Cricetulus griseus: one gene and its partners. The protein of the gene in region 1 interacts with the protein of each later gene in a pairwise test. Links are inferred from orthologs where the notes say so. Each region holds a gene or a part of one and is shown in the gene's direction. Other genes may lie near its edges. The genes, in order: Hap1, Hmox2, Taf1d and CUNH8orf33.

Region 1 (4,097 bases):
TGGGTTCTTTTCCCAGCTCACAGCCATATGTAATTCCAGCTCCAGGGGATCTGATGACCTATTGTGGCCTCTGTGGACAATAGGAGTGCAAGTGGTGCACAGAAGGAACAGGTAGGCAAAACACACATACACACAAAACAAGCCAATATTTAGGGAACTGGGTAGATGGTTCAATGGGCAAACTGCTGTGTAAGCTTAAGGGCCTGTGTTTAGATCCCTAGCAAGGCACCTGTCTATAAACCCCAGGGTTGAGGGTGGGGTGGAGTTAAGCCGATGCCTGGGGCTCACTGTACAGATAGTCTAGTCAAAGTACTGCACTCGAGATTCAGCGAGAGACCCTGTCTCAAAAAATGAGGTGGAGAGCGAGGGCAACACCTGATGTTGACCACTGTCTTCCACCCACAGACACGGACACATTCTTATACCACAAATAAAAATTTAAAATCAGCAGGGTGTGGTGGTACAAACCTTTAATCACAGCACTCAGGATGCATACATATTTGTAAAAAGGTAAAGTCTGTAGGCTTGCAACTGGAAGGCGGTGGAGGAGAATGGATGACATCAAGAATGATTTTGAGACCTTAGTCAATGAGTCACGCATCTCCTTTTAACCTGTCTCCCAGTCTAAACGCACAGAAATGGCTACTGCCCTGCTTAGCTCCCACCCCAAGCCCAGTTCATTCTGGACTTAAGAGAACCTTCCCAGGTATCCAGTTTTCTGGGGAGCACACCATCCATGGGCTGAAGGGCACAGGTCTAAGAAGACCGACATCGGTCCTTTCAGACCTCGGGATAACGGATGCTTTGGGGAGAGGGGTGTGCGGGCGCGCGCGGGGCGTGGGAAGGGGCTCCTGGAAGAGTGGTCACAGCTAAACATTTAAGCGGGATCTCCTCGGAAGATGCTCATTCTGGAATCTCTGAAGAACAAGGACGGTAGGCCTTGCGAATCAGGGTTGGAAATAAAGAACGAGCGAACGCACTAAGATGGAAGACGTCCAGGGGCGAGTGCGGGAGTGCGAGCGCGAGGACCTGTGGGTGACACGCAACACGTTGAAAGCCAAACCAGAGTTTGCATTTCTCGCTTAATCCACCTGGGAAGACCCAGGCGTACTGCCCTGACTCGCAGGTCACCCTGGCCTCTATTCAACGTTGGGTATGACAACAGAAAAGGCAGCTGGAAGCCCGAGGGGCGGGAGCACCCGCGGGTGGGGGGGAAGCTGGGAGGGGGGAGCTGCTTCTAGACAGAAGCTCGGGGTCCCTCGGCCCAAGTCCAGGGAAGCGACGGCTTTGGACAGAACCATTCTCAGAGAATGGAGGAGGCGCGGGAGATCTTCACCGTGAACCCGATCCCGCAGAGCCAACTGGGAACTCGTTCGTCTCTTTCTTTCCTCTTTTAAATATGTTGTTTCATGTCCCATCACCATTGCCGCTCTCTCTGTCACGATCCTGAGTCCTCAGTACCGCCACTTGATCTTCGGTCACCCCCAGCAACACGCGTGGTACAGCCCAGTGGAGCCCGCTCCGGCACAGGTTATAAAGGCTCGGCTGCGGCAGCCCACTGCGGAGTCAAGATGCGCCCGAAGGAACAGGTGCAAAACAGTGCGGGGGAAGGGACGGGGTCCGGGGACTCAGCAGCGGGCACCCCCGCGACCCAGCCTGCGGCCAGTCCGACCCCAGAGCCCTCGGCGGAGCCCAAAGCTGCTCCGGCGCAGGGAACCGGGTCCGGACAGCGAGCTCCGGGATCCCGAGTCAAGACGGGAAGCTTTTGTCGGTCCATGATCGTCGGCAATTCGGACGCCCCATGGACCCGCTACGTATTCCAGGGGCCTTATGGTCCCCGGGCCAGTGGCCTGGGCTCTGGGAAGGCCGAGGGGATCTGGAAGACGCCAGCCGCGTACATCGGCAGGAGGCCCTGCGTGTCCGGCCCTGAGCGCGCGGCGTTTATTCGAGAGCTGCAGGAAGGTAAACTGAGTCTATGGGATCCCGCACTGGCTGCTACTAGGGCATCTCCGGAGAGGAGGGGCCCACCGACTCAGGCGCCCCGCCCCCGCGAGATCGCTGTCCGCGGTGCCCGTTTAGTCTCCCTCTCCATCTTTTCCTCTCTTTCGGGTTCCACGATTTTTGCGGGTGCGTCAGGTCCAGGGCTTGCGCGCTCCCCGCCCCCTCTTCGCGCCTGTTGCTGTGCAGATCTGCGCACTCTCAGTGCCCCCTCCCCGTCTACCGCAGTGCCAGCAGAGGGGCGGGGGCTGCCAGAGGAGCTGCTGGTGGCTCTCTGAGCCTGCGCTAGCCCGTGGGATCAGCCTGCGTGGGTGGCTGGAGGGGGAGCTTTTGACCACTACTTGGCTGCAGGGCTCTGGGTAGTGCTTTCCTGGAGCAGGGCTGAGGCGGGAGGAGTGGGCGGGGCACAGGGTTTCTGTCCCTCCTCTTCTGAGTGGGGGGGGGGAGTGAGGGGGCAGTTTTAGATTCAGGGCTTCTGGGTGCCGAAGAAGCTTCCTTGGCTGTCTTGTCACACGCAACAGGTGTAAGATGGGTGACTGCATCTGTTTTTATGACCGAGGAGGCTCCAGTGAGCTGGCTTCGCTGCGGATTGGGTCAGGCGGATTGGGTCTGCAGCTGTTATTTCCCCTGACTTTATATCTCTACGGACCAAGGACCCAGGGGTCCTCGGAGTCCAGTTCCTGAGCCGGGAGGATGGTTTTGCTCTTAGAGCAGTCAGGCCCCTCCTGAGGAAGCAGGAGCTGTGGAGAGAGGGTGGTAGGGCTGGATGATTGCAGTCTCCTGGCTCCATGACCTTTGGTGTGAGGGACACTGTGGGCTCTGAGCAGCCTCGGCTGGCTCCTTTCCCTGACTCACTCGGGCCTTTCCTCCTGCAGCACTGTGTCCTAACCCACCTCCCACAAAGAAGATCACCGAAGATGATATCAAAGTGATGCTGTATTTGCTGGAAGAGGTGGGTACTGTCTTCCTCATCCAGGCCAGCCATCGTTTTAACTGCCTGCAGGACTTAGGGATTTTGTCTGTTTTTCTATTTGCCTGGGGGCCAGCTTGAGGGCCCCTCTCCTGGAAGGCCAAGTGGCTTTCAGGGGGCCAGTCTGGGCTGATCTTATTCCCCGCCCCCCATAATGGGAAACTGAGTTAGACCCTAGGGGTGGTTAACAGTGTCTGATCTAGCACCTGGAAAACCAGGTGTTGCAGAGGCTTTCTTCTTGTAGCCTAGCCCTAGTTTCTGCTCCTGTTTGGGAGGTCCCAGAAAGTGGGAATGTATGAACGGGTGGCTCTCCTTTTGCAGAAAGAACGGGACCTGAACACAGCCGCTCGCATTGGCCAGTCCCTGGTGAAACAGAACAGTGTTTTGATGGAGGAGAATAACAAGCTGGAAACCATGTTGGGCTCAGCCAGGGAGGAGGTATCTGGGTACCTAAGGGAGAAGGGGAGGGGTCAGTGTGTTCTCTCCCCCAAACTAGCACCTGTCCTGTGCCTTCATCCTCACCCTCCAGTGGCTTCTCTCTCCTCCCCTAGATCTTACATCTCCGGAAGCAGGTAAACCTGCGAGATGACCTCCTTCAGCTCTACTCGGACTCCGATGAGGATGATGAGGAGGATGAAGAGGAAGAAGAGGAGGAGGAGGAGGAAGGGGAGGAACACGAAGGACAGTGGGATCAAGATCAGCAGCATGATCATCCTTACGGTGCCCCCAAGCCGTATGTGTTCTGCCTTTGTGCCTGGACCATCCCTTTTCTCGGAGCCTCAGTTGCTCATTTGTAGACAGGGGCATAGACAGTGAGCCTGCCAGGAGCGCTGTTGGGCCTTGCATGCCACGGCCACCCTTATCCAGTATGGGGAAGCCTTGGGGACTGGGATCCGCCATCATCCCTGCCCCTCCCTGCATGCTGACTTTCATTGCCCTGTTACCAGGCCCCCTAAGGTGGAGACAGAGCACAGCTGCCCACAGCTGGAAGCCCTGCAGCAGAAGCTGAGGCTCTTGGAGGAAGAGAATGACCACCTTCGAGAGGAGGTGAGGACAGGGTGGAGGGCATGCCTTTGGCTGAGAACGGTGACAGCCTTGCCCCTTCCTCTTTCCCTTCCTCCAGGCCTCT
Region 2 (4,012 bases), about 71 Mb from region 1:
CTACCTCAGGCTGAATGGGCTGATCCTGCTGTCTATCCTCATTGTGGCTGGAGAATGGATGCCTGATACTAAGACCTTGCTCCTGTCTTATATACTTCCCTAATGCTGGGATTAAAGGTGTGTGATCCCAGCTGCTTAGATCACCTTTGTGTGAACTGTTTCTCTTTAGGACTGGATTAATCTTGTGTATATCTGGGTGGCCTTGGACTCACATAGATCCATCTACCTCTTAATCCTGAGTCCTAGGATTAAAGTGAACCAACACCACCTAGCTTCTGGATGCTGGGATTAAAGGTGTGTGCTCATTCCAACTTAACATTCTCCTATAATTCTTATTTAACTGGAGTATCTTTTAATGTCATGCAGTGGTTTTTCTATTTATGCCTCTCTGGGTCTTGAAAGTGTATAAAATATACAAGTATATAGGAATAGCTACCCAGAAGTGGAATCGTTAGTTGGTCTTGATAACACAAACCTGTGGTCCTGGCTCAGGGTAGTGTGAGGTAGGAGAATTGTTTTGTTTTGTTTTTTTTCAAGACAGGGGATCTCTGTAGTTTATGAAGGCTGTCCTGGAACTCACTCAGTAGGCCAGGCAGAGATCTGCCTGTCTCTGCCTCCGGGAGTGCTGGTATTAAAGGCGTGAGACACCACTGCCAAGCTGAGATAGGAGAATCTTGAGCTTCCAGACTGTATAAGCAAGATCTTAAAAAAAAATTAAAAATAAAAATTTTGATTAAGTGCATTTGTGTGTGGGTATATGTGCATGTGCTGGTGGAGGCCAGAAGAGAGCGTTAGTTTTCCTTTTCTTTCTGTCTTTGTTTTTTGGGTTTGTTTGTTTGTTTTGAATTTTTTTTTTGCGGTGTTACAATGCAATAATCCTTTCTCAGAGTTACACCCCCAATCCCCCATCTTTTTTTTGTTTGTTTTGTTTTTTGTTATTTATTGACAAACTCTCTGAGTTTAAGCTTAAACTCAGGGCAATCCTCCTGCCTCCCTCCCCGCGCCGAGTCCTGGGATTCCAGGCTTGAGCCACCACTCTCAACCAACTAACAGTAGGTTTTGGTTGACACACTTCCTCTCCTGAATACTACCTCTGCCGATTGATTCTGCGTGGCAGGCAGTATCCGCAGAGCCACTCGCCTCCAGCTAGCTGCGGCGCGCTGGGGGCGTGGCCTGTCAGTCCCCGCCCCCCTCTGCGTGCGCACGTCCCGCCGTCCTCGCGCTAGCCCGCTCGGCTAACGCGGCGCTGAGGGAGTCCCTGACGCAGAGACTGACGGACCTGCCAAGCGGCAGAGGGTGAGTGGTCCGCACCGTTCCCGGCCTTGCCCGCCCGGGTCCTCGCTTGCCAGAAGCCTTCCTCCAGAGCTCTGCTCGGCTGGCCCTCCGCGACTCGGCCGCCAGCCTGAGGGGACATCCGGACGAGGGGGCGGCCGGAAGCGGGCTGAGGCCGGCGATCGGGAGACGGGGGTCGGGGAGGGGGCACCGAGCGGGCCTCGAGCGTCAGGTGAGCCCGAAACTGCATGTGCCGCGCCCTAGAAGACTTTTGACCTCCGCACCCAAGCGTCGTCTGGTGTCCCCGTGGGACCCAGCCCCTCCCAGCGTCCCGAATGCTCTTGAGGAGGTGACTCCGGGGTCGAAGATAGTGCAGCCCTGGAGCCCACCTGAGGTCCCGGAGGAGCCCCGGGCGTGGCGGCCTTCTTGGCCCGCTCTCCAGTGACTCCCCTTGTTAGGAAGATCCTTTAGAATCACTGTGGGGATTTCATGAGTGATCGATCTCTGGTGCAGAATGCAAGACTGGGAGGACTCAGCCTTAGATGCAGCCAGTTGGTCTGGACGGGGAGGTCACCTGTCACCTCCAAAGCACAGGGCTCTAGGTGACTTAATTGCCCTGTAAAAACTGCCAGGACCGCCTTACACAGTGTTTGCACAAGGGCTGTCTGTGTCATGCCATTTAAATTGGTTTTGAAGGACCGGTTGTTGTGACTAGTTGCTGTTGATCCTTACTGTTTTCTATTGCTGGCGCCACAAACTCAACAAGAGGGAGTGTGACCCAGGGACATAAACACCATATAATGCTGTCCAGTTGAGGGAGACCTCCTGTCCTTCAACCCTTTCTCAGCCCTTATGTTTTCCCACCTTTAAAATGAGATCATTTAGAGACCGGTGAAGTAAATCGACTAACATCCCACTGGCAAGGTAATGGCACGGATGATCTCTTAATTCTAGTGGCCTGCCTGGACGCCCTGTGTTCTTTCAGATTAGACATTGGAGATTAGAAATGGTTGTTTAAAGGCTGGGCGTTGGTGGCGCACGCCTTTAATCCCAGCACTCGGGAGGCAGAGGCAGACATATCTCTGTGAGGCCAGCCTGGTTTCCAGAGCAAGTGCCAGGATAGGCTCCAAAGCTACACAGAGAAACCCTGTCTCGGAAAAAAAAAAAAAAAAAAAAAAGAAAGAAAAGAAAAAAAGAAATGGTTGTTTAAGTGGTCATACTGGCCTTAAGCAGTTCAGTCATGTAGAAGGAAATAAGCCTATCACAGGTTTTGTGCTTTTCTATTTCTGGTGTGGTGCTATTTATAATAATTATTATAAACTTTATCATATATAATGAATAATAATTATTACTAATACAAACATTTTTTGATGGTGGAGGTTGAACATCATGAGCACATATTTAATCACTGAACCCTCAGCCCTGCCTAGTGCTTTGTATTTGAGAAAAGGGATCCTTGCTATGTCTGGGATGGCTGAATGTGATACCCTTCTGCCTCCATCTCCTAAGTGCCCCAGCCTTAACCATCTTTTTCCTTTGGGACAGGGTCTCTGTTAAAATTATTTAGCCCTTACTGTCCTTAAACTGGCTGTGTAGGCAGGCTTCAACTCACAGAGATCTATTGCCTCTGCTTCCCCAGTGCTGTGATTAAATGTGTATACCATCATGCTGGGAGCTAACTGTATGTTTTGATTGCAGGATTATTAATGCTTTTAGTTTCTTTGAGGAGTGAAAAGTGTTTATTCAGAACTTTTTTTTTTTCTCCAGAATCATCACAAAATGTAATCTTTGCTTGCTAGGAGTTGCCAGTTCAGTAGGACATTTAATCAGTTCACTTGATAAAATTGGTAAACATTGTCTAACACAGTGCCTCAGCTAAAACACTGATTAGGGTGTGACAATCTGTGAGCCTTGGAAAATTGCATGCTCGGTGAATGACCTGATACTGCTGGGGACATGAAGAGGAAATCCTGTGGTTCCTCCATATTTAGACTTGAGTTCCTTTTTTCTTTGCTCAGGGCAGTCAGTTGAGATGCTGTTGAGTCACCAGAGTCAAAGAGACAGAGAGATTTTCTTACTTGTTAAAAAATTATGAGTGTTCATGAGAGCTTTCATATTTTCCGGCTTGTAGAAGTTGATTCTTCTTCCACTGTGAGTTCTAGCAGTAAAGCTCAGATCAGGTGGTTAAGCTTGCACATTTATGAGATGAACAGTCTTGCTGCCCAAGAGATTTTTTGTTGTTGTTGTTTTTTTGTTTTTTTCAAGACAGGGTTTCTCTGTGTAGCTTTGGAGCCTATCCTGGCACTCGCTCTGGAGACCAGGATGGCCTCCAACTCACAGAGATCCACCTGCCTCTGCCTCCCGGGTGCTGGGATTAAAGGCGAGCGCCACCAACGCCCGGCCCAAGAGATTTTTTTAAAAAGATGTATTTATGTTATGTATGAGTGCTCTATCTACAAGTACACCTTAATGTCAGAAGAGGCCATCAGATCCCATTATAGATGGTTGTGAGCCACCATGTGCATGCTGGGAATTAAACTCAGGACCTCTGGAAGAGTGGCCAGTGCTCTTAACTGCTGAGCCATCTCTCCAGACCCTGAAAGAGATTTTTTTTTTTAATTAGTTATTCTGTTGAAGTCTTAAAATTTGAGAGGGAAGGAGGATACCGTATGGGAGTTGGTTCTCTCTTTACACTTACATGGTGGGCCCCAGGAATCAGTCTCATACTTGGTGAAAAATA
Region 3 (4,095 bases), on another chromosome or scaffold:
TTCTGCTCATTAAGTTCTTTTCTTTTTTCAAGACAGTTTCCTGGAACTCACTCTGTAGACCAGATTGGCCTTGACTCATTGATATCTGCCTGCCTCTGCCTCCCAAGTGCTGGGATTAAAGGCCTAGAAGCTCATTAAGGTTTTTTTATTTTTTTATTTTTGGTTTTTTGAGACAGGGTTTCTCTGTGTAGCTTGTGCTGGCCTCCAACTCACAGAGATTCGCCTGCCTCTGCCTCCAGAGTGTTAGGATAAAGAGTGAGGTGAACCTTGGCAGGTTTCATGGCGGGCGAGGTTGACCGAGGCCAAGGGACAAACATTCCAGGCAGACAGCTTAAATGAAGTTTTATTAGGAAGAGGCAGGCCAGCATAATGCCTGATCCTTACACCCAGTGCTGGGATTAAGGGCATGAGTCACCACCGCCTGGCAGTACACAACATAAAGATGGTAAAACTTGTATTAATAATTCTAAATTTTCCTTACTTATGGGGAAAACATAGTCTAGGCTGGCCTGGCAATCCTCCTTCAGACTCTCCAGTTCTGCGATTTGCCACAGTTCTCAGCTATTTGTCACTTTCGTTTTGAACAGGACCCTGCAATTTAAGTTTGCACTGGTCCTGAATGTGACAGTCTGAGATGCCTGTCTTAGAGCTTACAGCGAATGCACTGGCTGCTTGCAAGTACAGCAAGACCTTACTTTTAAGGCGTGTCCAATCATAAATGATAACAACTGTTGACTAAGGGCAAGCAGATCTGCTGGCTTGCTTGTCATACAATACAAAGGTGCAGCATGGAAAATAACTCAAAGCAGCTCACTACTGAAAAGAAAGTACTGTAGGGCTAAAAACTGTTTAGCCCTACACTGTTGAGTCAACTCAGGATCTGAAGGAGGAAGCCCATGCCTGCTGGAAGCTAACTCCTGAAGGGTGGGGTGCCCAAAGCACCTGGCACCCTTCCTCTGAGGGGGAACTCCGCACACAGTGGGCTCGGCCCCACAACATGCGGACGCTCACCTGACCCGCAGTGTCTTCACGCCTGCAGGAATGCCTTCTTCCCTTCACCTACCCAAGTTCAACGTCCTGCTCCCTTCCGCCAGCTCAAAGCCTAGGGGCGAGCCCGGTACCGCCTCTCGCGGAGGCCCCGCCCACTCCACAGTCCACGCACATAGCCACGCCTAGCACGTAGCCGCGCTCTCGTACCCACCCGCCGCTAAGAGCTCACGCGAGATCTCGGCCTGCCCTAGTCGGCTGCTGCGAGCTGGAACGTTCTTTTGGTCGCGGTGGAGGAGGGAGACGGGTGTGTTTGCGTTGGGCGCTCGGGTCTGGCGCGATCGGTCGGTGCGGGACTCGGAGACCGCGCGCGGGCCCGGGCTCTTTGGGCGGCTGTCCGCGCGCAGTCGGCGCTGTTGTCGGGTGAGGCGCAGCGGGCCACGCGTGGCTCCCGGTCGCTATCGGTCGCTGCCGGAAGGTTTTAGAGTGTCCCGTCGGGGCATTGTGCTGGTGCTGCCTTCCTAGGTCGAGAAGACCGCACAGGTAGGACTGATTTCTAGATAGGTTCCTCGTGTGTACTTGGCCATTACCCTTAGAATTTTCTCCGCTCTATCGTTGGTGCAAACGGGCCAAGTATGTTACGTTGCAATTTTGATGGGCTAATACTAAAAAACAATGGGGAATGGAGAAATGGCTCTACAGCTAAGAGCACCAGCTGCTCTATCAGGGGACGTGGGTTCAATTCCTAGCAGCCACGTGGTAGTTCACAACCATTTGTAATGGGCTCTGGTTCCTATTTCTGGTATGGGTGAAACCAATGCACTATCCGTAAAATAAGTCCCCTTTTAAAGGAAAAAAGTTAATAACCCGGGAGGTGGTGGTGCATTTCTTTAATTACAGCACTCAGGAGGAAGGCGGATCTTGAGTTCGAGGCCCCGCCTGCCTCTACCTCCTGGGGTTAAAGGCGCGCACCACCACCTGGCCAGTTGCGGCCCCTTTAAAGCTGCCTTGTGGGTGCTGGGAATTTAATCTGTCCACTCAAGAGCAGTCAGTATTCTTAAAGCTAAGCCATCTCTTCAGCTGACTCACCCTAGAGGTTCTATTGTTGGGATTACAGGCCCATTGGCCATTCGGGAAATTGAGGCATACACACTGAGTGGCTAAAAATTCAGCCTTCCTAGGGTAAACATCCGAATTAATGCTGTTTCACTGTGTGGCTGGCTGGTAGTAAAGCCACTCAGGTACTTTTGTTAAGTAGAATTAGAAAACACTGATTTGGAAAGTGGTCTCTCCTTTGCTTTCACTTGTAGATTAGAATTGAATGTGTGGGTATCCAGGAAGCCAGAAACATGCCATGTTGAAGTTGTGAGCTACCCAATGTGAGTGCTGGGAACTGAACTGTGGAAGGTTACACTTTAACTGCTGTGCTCCTCACGTGGATATTTTTTTTTTTAAGACAAGGTTTTTCTATATTGAATTAGAGCCTGTCCTGAAACTAACCTGGAACTCACAGGTCTGCCTGCCTCTGCCTCCCAAATGGCTGGGATTAAAGGCGTGCACCACCAACAGCTGGCTCACTTGGATGTTTTTAAAGATCTAAAGTGGACTATCCTTAGGTCGATTTTACCTAAAGTCACATGGTGGTATGGTGTATGTTGAACTTTTCATTAGAATGCTAGGTGCATCACACTGAAATTGTAATTGCAGAGATCGAGTAATGGCTCAATCAGAAGTGACTTCTGTTGACTGCATGACACCTGATAGAGCTGCAGACATTGGACATCAAAGGTAAGGCAGCTTTTGTGACTAAACACCCTAGAGTTGAGTCTAACTGTTCAGATTGACAGGTCTCAGTAGGTGGCCTCATTCAAAGATGATCCTGCCTATTTCTCCCAAGAGCTGGAATTAAAGGCTTATCACCACACCCATTTGAAAATGTTGGGTATGATTTTGGGGGAGCTGGCTTTGGAAGAAATGTACACTTAAATTTTTAATGTCTTCTCTTATGTGACTTATGAGTGAGTGCTTTGCCTACAGTCAGTATCATGTGTTCAGAAGAGGGTGTTGAACTCCATGAAACTTGAGTTACTAATGACCATGCTGCCTGAGGGTACAGCCTTGCCACTCGTGAATTGGATTGTTTCTAGTAACGACTCAGTGATGCAGTTTATTTTATTTTATTTTTTTAGCGATGACTCATCTGATAGCTTATTTAAAACACAGTACGTTCTTTCACCTACACGAAAGCAAAGAAACCCTACGACAAAACGTGTCACTTTACCTGCAAATGTTGACACTGACACATCAAGTGACTCCTCTATAGAACCAAGGCTTTTGACTTTAAAGGCTATTTTTGAAAGATTTAAGAAAAAGAAACGGAAAAAAAGGAAATACAAGCCAAAATTAAGACCAAGAGGAAGACCACCTGGAATAAAAAATGCTAGAAACCCTAGAAGGTCACAGATAGGTGTGAAGCAAATTAAAAACAAAGGAGCTGTGTTTCCATTCTTAGAATCTGAAAATGGAAGAAAACCCTTACCTTGGAAGAAAATTTTAACATATGAGGTGAGTCATTCTCATGTAAGTGAATACACTAGGAAATTGGAATGATTGTTGCCCCCATCTTTTCTTCCTGGTTTTTCCAGACATAGTTTCTCTGGGTTTGGGTGTTGTTGGCCATTTTTAATTTGAGGTCCACCTGGGACACATTTTGTTACTTTGACAATAAACAATGTGTTCTGTGTAAAGTCTGCTCAGGTTCCAGTGTTTCTGAGTGCACTGTTTTTAGTGTGTATACAAACTTAGAGAATAATGGTCCAAGTCTGTAAATGTACAAAATACCCTCATCTTAGTCTCTAAACTACTCTCAAGCATATCTTACCCAACTTTAAATTAAGTAGCCCATCAAACCAGTCATTTCAAAGTAAGCAGATGTTATTTCGTTCTTTTTATTTTTTATGTCATTTACTTTTTTGGGGGGGTGTTTCGATACAGGGTTTTCTGTGTAGCTTTGGAGCCTATCCTGGCACTCCTTTGGAGACCAGGGTGGCCTCGAACTCGCAGAAATCTGCCTGCCTCTGCCTCCCAAGTGCTGGGACTAAAGGCGTG
Region 4 (4,209 bases), on another chromosome or scaffold:
CTGAACCTCTGGAACTGTAAGCGAGCTACCTCAATTAAATGTTTTCTTTATAAGAGTTGCCATGGTCATGGTGTCTCTTCACAGCAATAAAAAACCCTAACTAAGACATAGTTATATATTAAAACATAAACGAAGTGGATCCCTTCTGAGGAATGATACCTGAGAATGACCTCAGTTCTACACACACACAAAGAGCTACTCACCCCAGAAAGGGAATCCATGACAGACCGAAGTTACGACTGCACCAACTTGGTGAACTAATGAGTTTTTGTTGGGGTTACTAACAGGAGTATGAGTGAAGGGTTACTTACAAGGAGCAGGGATGACTCAAAAACTACTGCGCCATTGGAAAATCCTACTGGGGGAAGTGAAGCCCTGGAGCTCTCTGGATAGCCTGTAGGCAGTTTCAAAGACTGAGAACCCTCTTCACATGGGGTTGTCACTCCTTTTTATACAGCTGGCAAGGACCTTTCTGTTTTCACAGACCTTTTGTTTTCCTCCAGAACCTCACAAACTTCCTCATTCCATCCCGTCAGGGATTCTGAGGAAAATACCATACAACAGTAATTATGGGGTGTTCCTCAAGATTTGAAAAGAAATGTACCAATAATTTGGTACTTGTAGAAGATAAGCTCACAGTGCTAAAAGGGACTAAGACAAGGTTTGTTCTGGAGCCATTTTGAGTGACCATGGCCCAGGAACACAGGTTTAGGTTGTCCTAAAATCCATGTTCTAAGGTGGAAACAGGTTTCACAAGGCTTTAGTTTTACAGAACAATGAAAGTCATAAATCAAGGCAAATTTACACTGGTGGATACACCAGAAAGTTACAATGAGATGGGGAAACATTTCTATAGGCCCAAGATGTTACTGAAGCTTTGGGGTTAGTGGAAGTTAGTGGTCTGCTAAGTAAACAGATTCTAAAAGGTCTTTTATCTATTATTCACAGCAAGATGTTAGTTCTGACAGAGATGGGCAAGGAGTAGCTGTTCTAGAAGTAGTCCAAGATAAGGTGATTAGCCACTAGACCTTCAGCATTCCAGTATCTCCATATTACTGTAGTACTGTAAATCAGTCTGCACACAAAGCTTCTTTGTTTTATTGGATTTATTTTTATTATTTTATGTATATGACTGTTTTGCGTGCATGTACGTCAGCGCATCACATTCGGGCCTGGTGCCCTTGGAGGTAGTAAGCCTCCATGTGGGTGCTGGGAATGGAACCCAGGTCCTATGTAACAAGAAGTGCTTTTAACCACTGAGCCAACACTCCAGCCCCTCCCCCTTTAATGTCTATTTTTTAGTACTTATGTTTTGTGTGTATGTGTGTACACCCACGCGCGCGTGCGCCCCGCCCCACCTCTGGGCTTTCTGCCCCGCCCCGCGGGGAGGGAGGGTTGTTCCATCCCTATCTCGCCGCGCATTCGTCTGGTTTCTCAGCGATGCACTCTGCTGGGTTCTCCGAAGCCTCCACGTTTGTTCCTGCGCTCTTTCTGTCCGGATCCTCTCAGAGTTGCAGGCCCAGATCCACGGAGTGCTCCCCGCCCCTCCCGGAGCGCTTGCCCCTGCTACTCCGCCTGCAGGGTCCGCGGCGCCTTCTGCGGAACTCCGGGCCATAGACGCATTTCCGGAGGACTGAGTTCACTGTTTTAGTCAGGACTTCCGGTCACCGCTACGGCGCATGGCGGTGAGCTTTGGAAGAAGGCGTTTGCGTGGCGAGGCCCTGGGTGTGGGGCCCCTGTGAATTTCCTCCTGTTCCACGTTTTTCAGGCGTTAGGGCGTCCTGCTCGGGAGGCACCAGCAGCCTCAAGCCGGAGAACTCAACGCGCTGCGCGCAGACCTCGGCTCCCCCGTCCTGCTTGCGGTGCCGCAGATCCGCCCCTTGTCAGTTTAGTGCAACCTGCTTGTGACTCTGCCACCAGAGCACATCCCACAGGCAACACTGTGTCGATGAAGCAAAAGAAGAAGAAAATCCCGAACAGGGTCTCTGGGACAAATGGAGACGGAAAGATCTCCGAGAAACCTGTCCTAGACGAAGCTCCCCCCAGTGCTGAAGCCCAGGTAAGGGTGGGATTCCCTGTGAGCTTTCTGGGTGCTAGCTAGTCCTCCTGAGAGTGTGGTCTAGTTGTGCGGAATTAAGGCACTGAAGGGATGGGACTGGCTGGGGTCTGCCGAGTCCTGATGCCTATGACAGCCATGACCTTCTTTCCACCCCAGGCGGAGCAACTGGCGAGGGAGCTGGCCTGGTGTGTGGAACAGCTAGAGCTGGGACTCAAGACGCAGAAACCCACCCCGAAGCAGAGTGAGAGCCCCTTCTTTATAGTTAGGGAAATGTAAATGGTGATAGTGCTGTAGCCTGATGGTATTGCCAGGGGATGGAATTGTTGCTTTTGTAGGGAGTATGTATGAAGTTACCAGCTCCTTATTTTTATCTGCAGAAGAGCAGGCTGTTGGGGCAATCCGAACCTTGCGCAGTGAAAAAACCCCCCTGCCCCGGAAGAGACAGCTGATGCGATCCTTGTTTGGGGACTACAGGGCTCAAATGGATGCCGAATGGCAGGAAGCCCTGAGGGCTCTAAGGACTGGTGAGGAACCGGGAAGTGATTGATTCAGTTTATGTACTTCAAAGAGGTAGGGAGAAGCTCAGCTCAGCAAGGTTGGTGCTGGAGGAAATGGGCACAGGGAAAACCCTAAGCAGGAAGAATGTATATACCTTTCTGGGCTCCTGGAATCAGGAGAACCCTGGTCCTCACCTTGTTCTGTTTTTGGGGTGGGAAAACCCAGCTCACCTGTCTAGGCCTTGGTTCACTCCACTGACCACAAAGCCAGGTACCATGGGTTCAAATCCTGGATCTGTTATTTAGATCTTAACAGTTTAGCTAGTTACTGGGTCTCTGAATCTCATCAGGGAATGACAATATCATCATTATAGGAACATTGTGGGGGCAATCATAACTGCATGGATATTGTTAACTGTTACTCAGTTCTGACTCTTCGCTCCACCTTCCTACAGCTACCCATTCAGCCCGAGTACAGCTTGTAGGAGAGACTGCCAGAAAGAAGAGTGGAAGGGTCTGTAGGCCTCGTCCAACAGGAAGAACCAAGGCCACTGTGGACTTTCCTGATGAAGAATTTCGGTTCAATTTCTTTTAGATTCTCCTACATTCTGGACTAGTCATCCTCCTCCAGGGTGGTGTGACCATTTGTCTTGAATATAGGGGTCTTTCTATGAACTCTTTTGGCAGAAGTAGGATTGCTTTGTCTCTAATTGGTTTGTGGACATGAAACTGCTGCCCCGGGTGAGACTGTCCTTGAACTTCTCAAGGAAATGTTCCTCCTGTCAGAAGAGAGGTGCTTTGGGAACTCCTCTGTGCTAAGCCTGAGTGTTGAGTGGATTGCAGGAATTGTGCTCCAGTCTCTGGGAATAACTGTTGGTGGTAAGGAACTGAAGAATCTGTGTACTTTTGAAAGGATCAACCTAATAAATATGTTTTTATTTTTTTAAAAAAATAGGTGATGAATGGAAGCTTGTGATGTCTATGGTGGATGGAGTTAGGTGGGGCAGGGACTGCCTTTACTTGGTACAGCTCTGATGTCAGGGTTTAGGTCTTTGTCCATGTTGTCTCTTTTTCTGAGGAGGTTGTCATCTTCAGAGAGCCAGTGTGGCCTCCATCAGGCCATCATTTGTTCTTGAGCTGCATGCTTTAACTTGAACTGTGTTTTAGCAGACTTGTGTCTTTTTTTAAAAAAAAACCTTTATTTATTTGTGTGAGTGTGTATGTGTGTGTATGAGCATGCTAGGCACATGTGTGTAGGTCAGAGGTTTAACCTCTCAAGGATTAATCTCAGCCTCTAGATTTGGTGGCAGTTGCCTTTACTCACTAAGCCATTTTGCCAGCCCACACACTGCCTCTTTATGGGTACTGAACCCTCTGCTATACTGAGTTGAGATTTTCAGGTGTTCACACCAATGTAATCTGGTGTTGCCCAAAGTCAAATCCCAGACTAGATATAATCTGGAGTCCAGCTGTATTCAACATTTTCTGTATGAATATTCTGTGAGCAGTTCAAACTCAGAATGTTGCAGAATACCTAATTAGGCCCTGGGTCTCCCTTTCCTTTTTAGTCAGTGATATTCACTGCCTTGTCTAGTTGGTTATTAGGCCAGAAACCTATGTCATTCTTGATTTCTCTCTTTTTCCAACACTATG

Evidence for each region.
Region 2: the proteins of Hap1 (region 1) and Hmox2 interact in a two-hybrid assay, tested with the Homo sapiens proteins (2 studies listed by BioGRID and IntAct). The link is inferred for Cricetulus griseus from reciprocal best matches to the Homo sapiens genes HAP1 and HMOX2.
Region 3: the proteins of Hap1 (region 1) and Taf1d interact in a two-hybrid assay, tested with the Homo sapiens proteins (2 studies listed by BioGRID and IntAct). The link is inferred for Cricetulus griseus from reciprocal best matches to the Homo sapiens genes HAP1 and TAF1D.
Region 4: the proteins of Hap1 (region 1) and CUNH8orf33 interact in a two-hybrid assay, tested with the Homo sapiens proteins (2 studies listed by BioGRID and IntAct). The link is inferred for Cricetulus griseus from reciprocal best matches to the Homo sapiens genes HAP1 and C8orf33.

The regions. Positions count from the first base shown.
Region 1 is NC_048600.1:113,415,076-113,419,172, reverse strand, and holds the start of Hap1 (huntingtin-associated protein 1), read left to right. Parts: upstream 1-1,268; 5' UTR 1,269-1,409; coding exon 1,410-1,962; intron 1,963-2,873; coding exon 2,874-2,950; intron 2,951-3,289; coding exon 3,290-3,406; intron 3,407-3,519; coding exon 3,520-3,701; intron 3,702-3,915; coding exon 3,916-4,015; intron 4,016-4,091; coding exon 4,092-4,097. UniProt on the Homo sapiens protein: Originally identified as neuronal protein that specifically associates with HTT/huntingtin and the binding is enhanced by an expanded polyglutamine repeat within HTT possibly affecting HAP1 interaction properties.
Region 2 is NC_048600.1:41,928,593-41,932,604, reverse strand, and holds the start of Hmox2 (heme oxygenase 2), read left to right. Parts: upstream 1-1,184; 5' UTR 1,185-1,296; intron 1,297-4,012.
Region 3 is NC_048597.1:128,814,791-128,818,885, forward strand, and holds the start of Taf1d (TATA box-binding protein-associated factor RNA polymerase I subunit D), read left to right. Parts: upstream 1-1,240; 5' UTR 1,241-1,530; intron 1,531-2,694; 5' UTR 2,695-2,704; coding exon 2,705-2,775; intron 2,776-3,176; coding exon 3,177-3,552; intron 3,553-4,095. UniProt on the Homo sapiens protein: Component of the transcription factor SL1/TIF-IB complex, which is involved in the assembly of the PIC (preinitiation complex) during RNA polymerase I-dependent transcription.
Region 4 is NC_048595.1:374,229,170-374,233,378, forward strand, and holds CUNH8orf33 (UPF0488 protein C8orf33 homolog), read left to right. Parts: upstream 1-1,404; 5' UTR 1,405-1,679; coding exon 1,680-1,685; intron 1,686-1,768; coding exon 1,769-2,059; intron 2,060-2,215; coding exon 2,216-2,300; intron 2,301-2,436; coding exon 2,437-2,583; coding exon of another isoform or gene 2,584-2,606; exon of another isoform or gene 2,607-2,629; intron 2,630-3,011; coding exon 3,012-3,151; 3' UTR 3,152-3,766; downstream 3,767-4,209.